Arabidopsis thaliana: one gene and its partners. The protein of the gene in region 1 interacts with the protein of each later gene in a pairwise test. Each region holds a gene or a part of one and is shown in the gene's direction. Other genes may lie near its edges. The genes, in order: TINY2, TLP2 and AT3G24860.

The links.
Region 2: the proteins of TINY2 (region 1) and TLP2 interact in a two-hybrid assay, tested with the Arabidopsis thaliana proteins (one large-scale study listed by BioGRID).
Region 3: the proteins of TINY2 (region 1) and AT3G24860 interact in a two-hybrid assay, tested with the Arabidopsis thaliana proteins (one large-scale study listed by BioGRID).

The regions. Positions count from the first base shown.
Region 1 is NC_003076.8:3,727,109-3,730,865, reverse strand, and holds TINY2 (Integrase-type DNA-binding superfamily protein), read left to right. Parts: upstream 1-2,139; 5' UTR 2,140-2,366; coding exon 2,367-3,077; 3' UTR 3,078-3,413; downstream 3,414-3,757.
Region 2 is NC_003071.7:7,943,990-7,947,746, forward strand, and holds the start of TLP2 (tubby like protein 2), read left to right. Parts: upstream 1-2,008; 5' UTR 2,009-2,168; coding exon of another isoform or gene 2,169-2,417; 5' UTR 2,418-2,421; intron 2,422-2,699; 5' UTR 2,700-2,764; coding exon 2,765-3,097; intron 3,098-3,172; coding exon 3,173-3,260; intron 3,261-3,343; coding exon 3,344-3,473; intron 3,474-3,553; coding exon 3,554-3,757. Other genes in the region: AT2G18270 (uncharacterized protein), read right to left, coding at 2,169-2,417.
Region 3 is NC_003074.8:9,071,611-9,075,327, forward strand, and holds AT3G24860 (Homeodomain-like superfamily protein), read left to right. Parts: upstream 1-2,012; 5' UTR 2,013-2,031; coding exon 2,032-2,964; 3' UTR 2,965-3,072; downstream 3,073-3,717. Other genes in the region: AT3G24850 (B3 domain protein (DUF313)), read left to right, coding at 1-574; AT3G24870 (Helicase/SANT-associated, DNA binding protein), read right to left, coding at 3,627-3,717.

The DNA.
Region 1 (3,757 bases):
AATGGTCAGTGTCTGAAATGAGTAAAAAGAAGCTTGAACAATCTTGTAAAATGGAATAACGGATACGAAGGCAAATAGCATAATTAAAATCCTTTAAAGATCCTTACCCAAAAAAAAATTAAATCCTTTATAGCTGATAAAATCTAAGATGTTTTAGACATTTTATTTGGTTTCATATTACAAGATGTTTTCCAAGTTTATAGATAATTTAAATATATTTGTTATTTGTGACCATTTATATTATGCAGTATTTTATATTATTAGTTGAATTTTATTAAATCAAATATAAAATAAAGGTTTTAAAAATAAAAAAAAGTTCTTTTTTAATTAAAACATCTTATATTTTGAAATATAGTGAATAATTTTTCTTTTTTTCTATTTTTTCATTCATTACTAGTTAGTTTTGACTTTTAAATAGAGGTTTCAAAATTATTTAATGGTTTTGTAATCCGATTGATTTCATAAACTGTTCTCGTGTTCTAACAATATTTTCAAAACAATTAAACTATTTTCGTTCTCGTCTTAAATAGACTTGTAAGAATCTCACATAAAATCTGTTTAACTAGGATAAATATAAAGCAAGAGTCAATATATTCATGTCAATAATTTTTGAATTAGAAACTTGTAAACTCTAAAACCTTTGTTGACCAGTTTTTTTTTTTTTTTAGTAAACTTAAGATGATCAATATTATTGTTAATTAGTATTACGTATATGATCAATATAAAATGCATATACGTATTGCTGAAACGAGAGGCGAAAATACAAACAATTCTCTTCATTGCAAGTACTTAGACATTGCTATTACTTGTGAAAAATCCAAAATGATTATTAAGAGACATTATTTTTTCGTCATTAAGAGACATTTTTTTGGCATGATTATTAAAAGACTTTAGTGTATGTGTATATTTGACAGACACTCGTCCTTCCTTATAGGTACGCAAATACGACCCCATGATTGAACAAGTTATTGTCCCTTAAAATTTCTTGAAGTTTCCTCTACAAACTTCTTTTCTTTATTTGCAATATTGTACCTCTAATTTTGGGGGCTTTTTTTTTTAGTTTGGAAGCAACTTTAACCTAATTAATATCAATTGGCTGGTAGATTTCTTTCTTTTATGGGTCTTACGCCCATATATTTTCTAAGACCAGGACAGAGGTATTAATTATCAATTTACTTACGGTTAAACCCCCTTTAGTACACCTTTTCAAGTCTAAGTATAAAATATCCTCTCAAATGAAATCAGTACAAATTGTGCAATTAATCACACACCATTTGGTGTCTCGAAAAAAAACACTCAGTTACAAATTTCTCCAAAATTTAAAATTTAGCCTCGAAGCATATGGTTTATTGGTTAAGACAAGTTCCTTTAATTAGCCCTCGATATATATAACTAAAGTAAACATATGATACTTACTAAAAAAATTTCCTGAATAAATCTTCAAAAACTGTTGACATTCATATAATATGTTTATAGAAAATCAAAATTTGAAAGACAATAACTCTATATCCGTGTAAATAATATGTATATTAATTCTGATCAAAACTAAATTGCAATTATGGCATATCATATATGTGGATACATATTGCCTTCACATGATGAGCATATATATATACCAATATGTAAATAGGAATGTATGATCCAATGAGTCGAAGATCAAGGTAAAGGATAATTAAACAGTAAAACTGAGGTGAAAATTATCTTACCACACAAAACAAAAAAGGCTTGTCTCATCATGTTCATCTCGGAGACAACTTTCATATAATTTACGTACCCGGCCGAGACAAAATCTCTTTTCAACACTGCCCTTCTAAATATGGTCGTCTCATAATCTTTTAATATACTGAAAAGTATTTTGTTTTCCTAATTTAGTTGCATAATGAGATTTTAAGAACCGGGAAAAATATTAAAGCAAACAGTGACCCCAAGTGTGTCGTTTTATACTAATAACAATATATTCACAATATAGAAATAGAGTGGGTCTGTGAGAAAAACAAAAATAAATGGAGCCACTGGGTCCATTTCCTTTATTCAATTAGACTTATTGCATTGTTTTTGGTCCCATTCCCTCTCTTCTAACCCGTACCCAAATATATTAATGCATATATAAATATTTTGAGTGACTGAGAAATGATAGCCAAAATTTTACCAACATTTTTCTCTTCTCATATCAAAGTTTCTCTCTCATTTCTTCATCACACTTCACTGCCCTGTTTTTTTTCCTCATTTTGAATAGTTCTCAAACTTATATATTTTTCCCCCTGAAGCCTAGCTATTTCTTTTTATTTGCATTAATCTCGGGATCCGAATCGAAAAAAGCAATCAGAATAATAGACTTGTACGATACTTGTGCCTAAGCTAACACAATGGCAGAGGAATACTACAGCCTCCGCTCGGAGAGAGTAACTCAGCTTCTTGTCCCTAACTCGGAGTCTGACTCAGTGAGTGACAAAAGCAAAGCTGAGCAAAGCGAGAAGAAGACTAAACGTGGGAGAGACTCCGGTAAACACCCTGTTTATCGCGGAGTAAGGATGAGGAACTGGGGAAAATGGGTGTCGGAGATTCGTGAGCCGAGGAAGAAATCACGTATTTGGCTGGGAACTTTCCCGACGCCGGAGATGGCGGCGCGTGCACACGACGTGGCGGCTCTGAGCATTAAAGGAACGGCCGCTATACTAAACTTCCCTGAACTCGCTGACTCATTCCCTCGACCCGTTTCATTAAGCCCTCGAGACATTCAGACAGCAGCTCTTAAAGCAGCTCACATGGAACCGACGACGTCGTTTTCATCTTCCACGTCTTCGTCGTCGTCTTTGTCTTCTACGTCTTCGCTCGAGTCTCTTGTGTTGGTGATGGACCTCTCGAGGACTGAGTCGGAGGAGCTCGGTGAGATTGTGGAGCTTCCAAGTCTCGGGGCGAGTTACGACGTCGACTCGGCTAACCTTGGGAACGAGTTTGTCTTCTATGACTCAGTTGACTACTGTTTATATCCGCCGCCGTGGGGACAGTCGTCCGAAGATAACTATGGTCACGGAATTAGCCCTAATTTTGGCCATGGCTTGTCATGGGATCTCTAACAGTTTATTTTGTATCATTACCATAATGTTTTGTTTAAAACAGTTTATTTTGTATCATTGCCATAATGTTTTGTTTAATCACGTTTTTAAAACCCTTTGCTGTTTTTGTTTTTTTTTTGAGTTTTTTGGTGTTAGCTAAGAAAGGTTTTTTTTTTTTTTTTTTTTGGAGCGGGTGTGAGCTCCATAATGATACGTGTACAAAACTCTATTTGTGTTTTTTTTTTGTAATATATAAATATCGGGTTTTTTTGTCGGAAAAGAAGGGAAAATAAAGTGATTTTTTTGTAAGTATCATCAAATGAATAAGCGATAAATAAAAGTCCACTAACTTTATGATATTGTAATAATGCAAATCATCAAAATTTAAAAAACTGTTCAATGTTTTTGTTTTTGTTTTCTTTGACAAAAAAAGTTTTTTTTTTAAAATTATAGGAAATATCTTTAACCATTAATTGTAAATTAGAGTCTCACTATCCCATTCATTTTTGTTTTGTCGACATAAATGGAACGGAGAATGTGAGTTAGGGTAAAAAATGAGGGAAAACACAAAGCAAGAGCAACTTGTCCAAGCTGACGCAAACAATACACAGCCACATATGTACATCCATGCAATACTTTATTATCATCTATTAGTATGTTAATGACCATAATTTCCCACTTTAAAAAATTTGTTAGACAAT
Region 2 (3,757 bases), on another chromosome or scaffold:
TATGTAGGATATATACAATATAGTTGTATTGTGGTCCACATACCAAACATGAGCAACTTCTAAGATGAGAATCATTACATTTTAAAAGCTAATAACTTGAATCATTGAAATTTACAATCAGGAGTATTAAAATATAGATCCTGGTAAATTATTTTTAAGGTAATAGTTGTATTTAGAGTTACCAATTGTTGTTGTTTTTACACCCATTAACAAGTTTTTTCACTTAAAAAAAAAATCACATCCATTAACAAGTTTATGCACGAATAATAACATTTTTTCCCGATGAATGCTACAAATGCTATTCATGTGGCAACCGTAACCATTAAAGTCATAATGTAAAACTCTATATATATTCGTTGTTACCTGAAGAAGATTTTGTGCATTTAGTAAAGTCGTATCCTTATAATTTTGTTTTTATCATATGTAACCTAGTAATGTGTGTTAGTGATATCATGCATTGTGTAACCTCACATAAATATAAATTCGATAAGATGAATGACACAAAATAAAATGATAAATATTACTTTAAGATAACTATCATAATTTGCCAAGAAAATCAATCAAATGGGTGGAGAAGAAGGACATTTTTTTGGGTGGTACCGTATACGATTCATTAGGTTTTGTTGGTACCACATATCAAAAGTCATTAAAACTTTAATAGGACGTCAAAACAAATGTATGAAAAAATAAAGTTGAATTAGGTACGTGGCATATATTGTTTGCCAAATCCATAAAATTATAATACCACCTCCTGGAGTTTGATCTTAAGCCAGACTTTCTTATATGTATTAATGCATGGTGTCAAAATGGGTGGCTTGACAGAGATTTTGAATTTTTAATTATGTAAATTGATACATCATACATGATACATGTGTGATGCGTATATATCATTTTAAAAATATTTCACATTGTTGGATAAGGTCAAACAAAAAAAGAAGAAGTAAATACGTATATGTTGAAGACAAGATCCGTTGTGTTTATACTTAGCACGAGAACAAGTGTATATATTAACGAATTATATGTTATAGATATGAATTATCCTAAACTCAGCCTGAAGAAGAAAGTTAGATTGATTTTTGACTTAACCTTGTGATTGCGAATTTTTCATATAAAAATATTCTTATAGTTATGAAAATAAATGGAAACAAATTCATTAAAGAAAGTAAGAAAAACAAAATCTCTAAAACATCTGGTAAAAAGACGCTAGATGCAAGTTTTATAATCTACATCGAAAAGAAAGAAAAAAAAAATCATTCACAATCGAAGAATAATGAAAATTTTGAAAGACAATAAATGCAAAAAAATTAATTAGAAAAAAAAATACTTAAAATGTTGAGATTAAACTTTTATATGCTTTCAAACCCCCAACTTAAAAGTAGTGTGTTTATAAGATCAATTTTAGTATGGAGGGTGGACTAATTTCAGGTTGGATTGATATGTTGGTTCAAGTTGGATCAATCATATTAAATTTTAAAAATTCGGTAATGAATATAATTTTCTTTTCAAGTATCATTTACTTCCAATGTAAAAATATTACACACATGCAATAAATTAGAAATTCACATACAAACTAGAATAAACAACTTTACAACATAATAAGATTACGTATTACTTATATAAAAAATTAGACATGTTATTTTCCTGTTCACTATAAACATCGACAATAATCTTTGTTGGACGTAAAATATATTTCTTCTCAATTAATAGTTTCATTGAAATAAAAAGGTTTATAGGTTTCTTCAAGATTTATTTTGTCGGATAATTCTAAAGTTTTCGTTTAATCTTCTATATATATATATATAAATAGTACTATCAATTTACCGACCAAATATGTCATTGCCACATGCAGTAAGTCATGATCAAATTAAAGCCATGCAGTAAGTCATGATCAAATTAAAGCCAAGTAGTATCATTAGAAGCTCTTAATTATTTAACTAACTAAAAAATTTAGAAGTTAAAAATATTTTCCGACCAAAATTGTTTTCTTAGTGTTAAAGTTTTTAATTTGTAGAGTTTCTCTCTGCCTTTAAACGTTTCATTGAAAACTATAAGAAAAAGCGAAGACTTCGGATCCTTTCTTTCTCAATTTGTAACAAGAGAGAGAGGTTCAGGTTCGTTTTGGTGGTGACCACTCCTTTATTCACCTACGGTGAGATCGGCGGCGGAGTCTAGACGACGGCGATAACGCCGGTGACCGACGGAATCATGTTAAGATAGTCACTGGCGAATTCGTTCTTCTTCCCCGGAGACGACAAGCATCGAAGAATCTGTTTAGAGACAGCTATGCTTGTCTCTGTTTCTGCGTTTTCTCTTTCCGATCTTGTCTCTCGGATCCGGTGAAGAAGCTGCCGCCGATCACATCTTCCAGTTTCCAGAGATTCTAAAGCTTTTGTCTTTTGATCCTTCATCGAATTCATTGAGGTTGGTTTTCAATTTTCTTTCACATTTCCAGAAGAAAGATTCTTCTTTCTTCTCCCTCTGTTTTTGGATCTGTTGAGTTTTCTTGTCGGATTTAAAGATTGGATTTTGATGCGTTTCAATGTGAATCTGTGATTTTTGAAGATTTCGAGCTCTTTCTATTAGTAGTTCATATTTTCTCCTTACCCATTTGGTATAGATGCGTAGATCCCAAGTTTTTATCTTTGGGGTCTGTTTTTGCTTGTGAAAGTGTTGAGCTTTGTTTTGTTTCCTTTAAGGAGATTATAAGAAGATGAACTTTGAGTGATTGCAGCTATCGGGGAGTTTTGTGGTATGCTGAAAAGAGATGTCTTTGAAAAGCATCCTTCGTGATCTGAAGGAAGTGAGGGATGGACTTGGAGGCATCTCCAAGAGAAGCTGGTCAAAGTCGTCTCACATTGCTCCTGATCAAACAACTCCACCACTGGATAACATACCACAGAGCCCATGGGCTTCTTTGCCGCCTGAGTTGCTTCATGACATTATCTGGAGGGTTGAAGAGAGTGAGACAGCTTGGCCCGCTCGAGCTGCCGTTGTCTCTTGTGCTTCAGTATGTAAATCATGGAGAGGAATCACTATGGAGATTGTGAGGATCCCTGAGCAGTGTGGGAAGCTCACTTTTCCAATCTCATTGAAACAGGTAAAGAAAGTTTACTGTTTCTTTTGTTCACATCATCATGTTGGAAATCTAATATTCTTGTTTGATTGTGAGCAGCCGGGGCCTCGAGACTCTCCAATTCAATGTTTTATTAAGAGGAACAGAGCAACAGCTACATACATTCTCTATTATGGTTTGATGCCTTGTGAGTGACCCTTATTCCCTGACTAAAGTTTTCAACAATGTAGAAACTGTTGTTCTAAGGATGATCCTTGTTTCGAATTTCAGCGGAGACTGAGAACGACAAACTGTTGTTAGCAGCAAGAAGGATTAGAAGAGCGACATGCACAGACTTTATAATCTCCCTATCTGCAAAGAACTTCTCACGGAGCAGCAGTACTTATGTTGGCAAATTAAGGTAAGCAATTGTCCCGAGTTAAAGTCTTAACCATCAAAAGCTCTTTTGTCTAAGCAGTCTCTACTTATCTTGTGGGATAGGTCTGGTTTTCTGGGAACCAAGTTCACAATATATGACAACCAAACAGCATCATCCACAGCACAAGCCCAACCTAACCGAAGACTCCACCCGAAACAAGCGGCTCCTAAACTACCTACGAATAGCTCTACCGTAGGAAACATAACCTACGAGCTCAATGTTCTTCGCACAAGGGGACCTAGAAGAATGCACTGCGCTATGGATTC
Region 3 (3,717 bases), on another chromosome or scaffold:
TCTGTCTTTGTGCCTAACGGGGAACACAAGCCGCAAGAGACGTGCTGTGGAAGAGAGGAAACGTACCGGTGGATTCAAGAAGGCAAAGGTTGCTCCTTTTCCAGGGACAGCGAGAGATACGCCTAAGTGGCTTGTCAAGGTGATGAGAGACATGAAAGAAGCCAAAGATGCTAAACTGATCTTTGAGAAGACTCTGTTTGTGACTGATATAAACCCAACACAGAACCGTCTCTCAATGCCGTTCAACAACTTACTCCAAAACGATTTCTTGACGTCTGTGGAGTCCAGAATCATAAAGGAAGACATCAACAACAATAAGAAGATTGGAGTGGGAGCGATTCTCGTGGATCAACGGTCTGTAAAGTGGGGTGTGATGTTGAAAAGATGGGAGCTGAAGAAGGAATCAGGAAAAGGAAGCTGGAACTACAATCTGATTTGTGGGTGGAACGATGTCGTTGAGGCTAACGGATTGAAAGAAGGCGACAACATTAGTGTTTGGTCGTTCAGGTGTCGTGGAGTCCTTTGCTTTGCCATGGAACAGAGTAGCTCTTCTCTTGCTCTCTGTCTCTGCTAAGTATCTTATGTCTGTTGTGAGTCTTGTGACTATAACTTGGTTGATTAACACGCACAGTGATTTTCAGGAGATTCTGAAGATTCTTTTGTCTAGTAATTTCTTGAAAGAGTTAAACTAAAGAAACTTGGGTTCCTCTTTCTTCTTAGTAACTTGTTCCTTCTATTGTTTCAGATCATTATAATCGTATGTACTTAGCACTTTTGACATGAATCTGGTTTGTTGTTTGGTCTACTTTAGTTACCTTTCGATTTCTTGTAATATATCTCAAAGTCTAATTTTGTGTGATGACATTGATCCAATTGTGAAAAGGTTACATGTTATGGTACATTCATGAGAAATGCTCAATACAATCAAAACCAGGGTTGTTTTCTACTAAGTGACAGGTTTCTACTAAATGATCAAATCAGGAACAAAATTTGTTGCCAATGACAGGTTTTGCTACAATTGCTTCCTTCTGCCACTTGAATAAGTACGACGTCCTTTAACACAGGGAATGCATTCGTGCTGGCCAAGACACTGCAGAAACTTCCAAGCTGAAACCTGATTATATTTGAATCTCATATCCGAAGTCTGCATTGCTACTATTACTTCACCCTCAAACCATATATATTACATGTGAGAGACATCACGCTCATCTCTTGTCATATTCCAACTAAATTTTTTGTTCGTTTTGCTCACTTAGCAGCCGTTGATGGAAGAAGGAGGAAATTGCAGTGAAGAGGATGAGAAACGATTAGAGAGAAAATGAGAGGAGGATCTCATCAACGCAGGTTTGCCTAGGCACAACTTGGAAGGCTGGTTGAAAAACAGAGATAACTGCAGTAGTGGCTGACCACATAAGCTGTTTTGCTGTTTGCAGCAAAAGCAAGACCATCTTTATCGAAGCCTCCAGGGAATTTTTCGTCGCGGGAAGAACACAATCCTTTCTAGATGATCTGATACAGAATAACAAAAAAACATATGGTGAAGTGATTAGATCGACTTTAGCTAAGACTATCTGAATATAAACCCAGTAAACATATTTGGGCTTTCTCTCGGGTATAAACTTGCTCACCAAATATGCTGAAGTGATTGATTGTTTCGAAGAATGCTAAGGCATCACCTCAAACTCTTGGTTTGTTTCATGGAGAAAAGTTGCTTCTCCTTGTTCTACTTGTCAGTTGTTAGGAAGAATTAGTCAATTTCTCTTCAATGAATCCCTACAAGTTAGACTATTGTGTTGAATAAGTAAAGGAGTTCTGCATGAGTTTATCTCTTTTGTTCCTCCGATACTTTTTACTTCCTCTGAGTAAAAAAAGAGAAGTAAATTTTTACTTCCTCTAAGTGGGTTGGTCTAGTAAATTTTTGTTGGGCCCAAAATTTAAAAAATCAACAAGAAGACAAAAAAAGCCCAAAGATCCGAGTTGGAGTTAAACTGACAAAATCCGAAGCACCAATTAACATTGTTACACTAAACCATGGCGACGCCTTCGCCGACCTCCTCTCCTCCCTCTGATTCAAACCCTAATTCTGCCGCTACTCCGCCGCATCAGAAACAACCACCCTCTCCTCCTCAACCCACGAATCCATCCTCTCCACCACCGCACACCACCGTCGTAGCTTTAGCCGCATCAACCTCCGCCGTCGCCAGAAAAACCCAACCTGTTCTCTGGACTCAAGACGAGACCCTCCTCTTAATCGAATCATACAAAGAGAAATGGTTCGCAATTGGTCGTGGTCCTCTAAAATCAACTCACTGGGAAGAGATCGCCGTTGCTGCCTCATCTCGTTCCGGCGTTGAACGGACATCTACACAGTGTAGGCATAAGATCGAGAAGATGCGTAAAAGATTCCGATCTGAGAGACAGAGTATGGGACCTATCTCAATTTGGCCTTTCTATAATCAAATGGAGGAATTGGATTCTTCAAATCCTGCTCCGATCTCAGCTCGTCCTCTCACTCGTCTTCCTCCTAATTCGAATAATCGCTACGTAGACGACGAAGAAGAAGATGAAGAAGAGGATAACAATAACTACGAAGAAGAGGAAGAAGAAGATGAGAGACAGAGCAAATCGAGGAGTATTAATTACATATTGAGAAGACCTGGAACTGTTAACAGATTTGCTGGAGTTGGTGGAGGATTGTTGTCATGGGGACAAAAAGAGAGATCATCGAAGAGGAAGAGGAACGATGGAGACGGTGGTGAGAGGCGGAGGAAAGGAATGCGAGCCGTTGCAGCGGAGATTAGGGCGTTTGCTGAGAGAGTAATGGTAATGGAGAAGAAGAAGATTGAGTTTGCTAAAGAGACTGTGAGACTTCGTAAGGAAATGGAGATTCGTAGAATCAATTTGATTCAGAGTTCTCAAACTCAGCTTCTTCAATTTATCAACAATGCTTTTGATTCTTTCTAACGTAGAGATTTAGTCATTGTTGCTTTTAGATTTGTAACATAGGTAACGGATTTGAAGAAATGCACTATGTAAGCTAATGTTTATGGGAGTGAAGTGAACTTTTTTTTTAACCATAAAAGAACAATGATACATTCATCAAATTAACCTAAACCTACAAGAGAATAAGTTAGAGGAAAAGGTTAAAAAAGGGCCCTAAGTATATGCCACAAGGATGGAGGAGTAGAGACTTCTATACAAAACATTATAAACTGTTTCTACTCTCTCCCAAACCAAAAGATGGGAAGAAGAAGAGACTACTTCTCTATGATGCAAGTGGGTAATTTACATTATGATATACCTTCTTCTCTTTGTGTTCATCAAAAGAGGCAAAAAGACCTGCATGAATTTTATCCTATCCACCAACTTCTTCCCTATTGATCTCCCTCTGGCCTTACCAAATCTGCAAACTCCACAATCTGTAGAGTTTGTTATGTTATACTCTCAGCCAAATCCAAAGACCACCAGCAGCTTCAAGATGTTAATGCCAAAAAGAGACCCGACTCTGAAGGTGGAGGACACAAACCAGTTTGGGTTCCTGTACAGGGTTGTTGTCGGTAAGGGCCAGCGTTAAGCTTTGCAGGATCTACAGCTACTCAAGGTTCTAGGTTCATCTGTCATGCCTCTCATTCCACTTTTGTATCAGGAGGCTTGGAAGATGATAATTCTTGTGCTTCTTCTAAATGAGGCTGCTCCTCAGAAGCAAGGTGTTTCTGA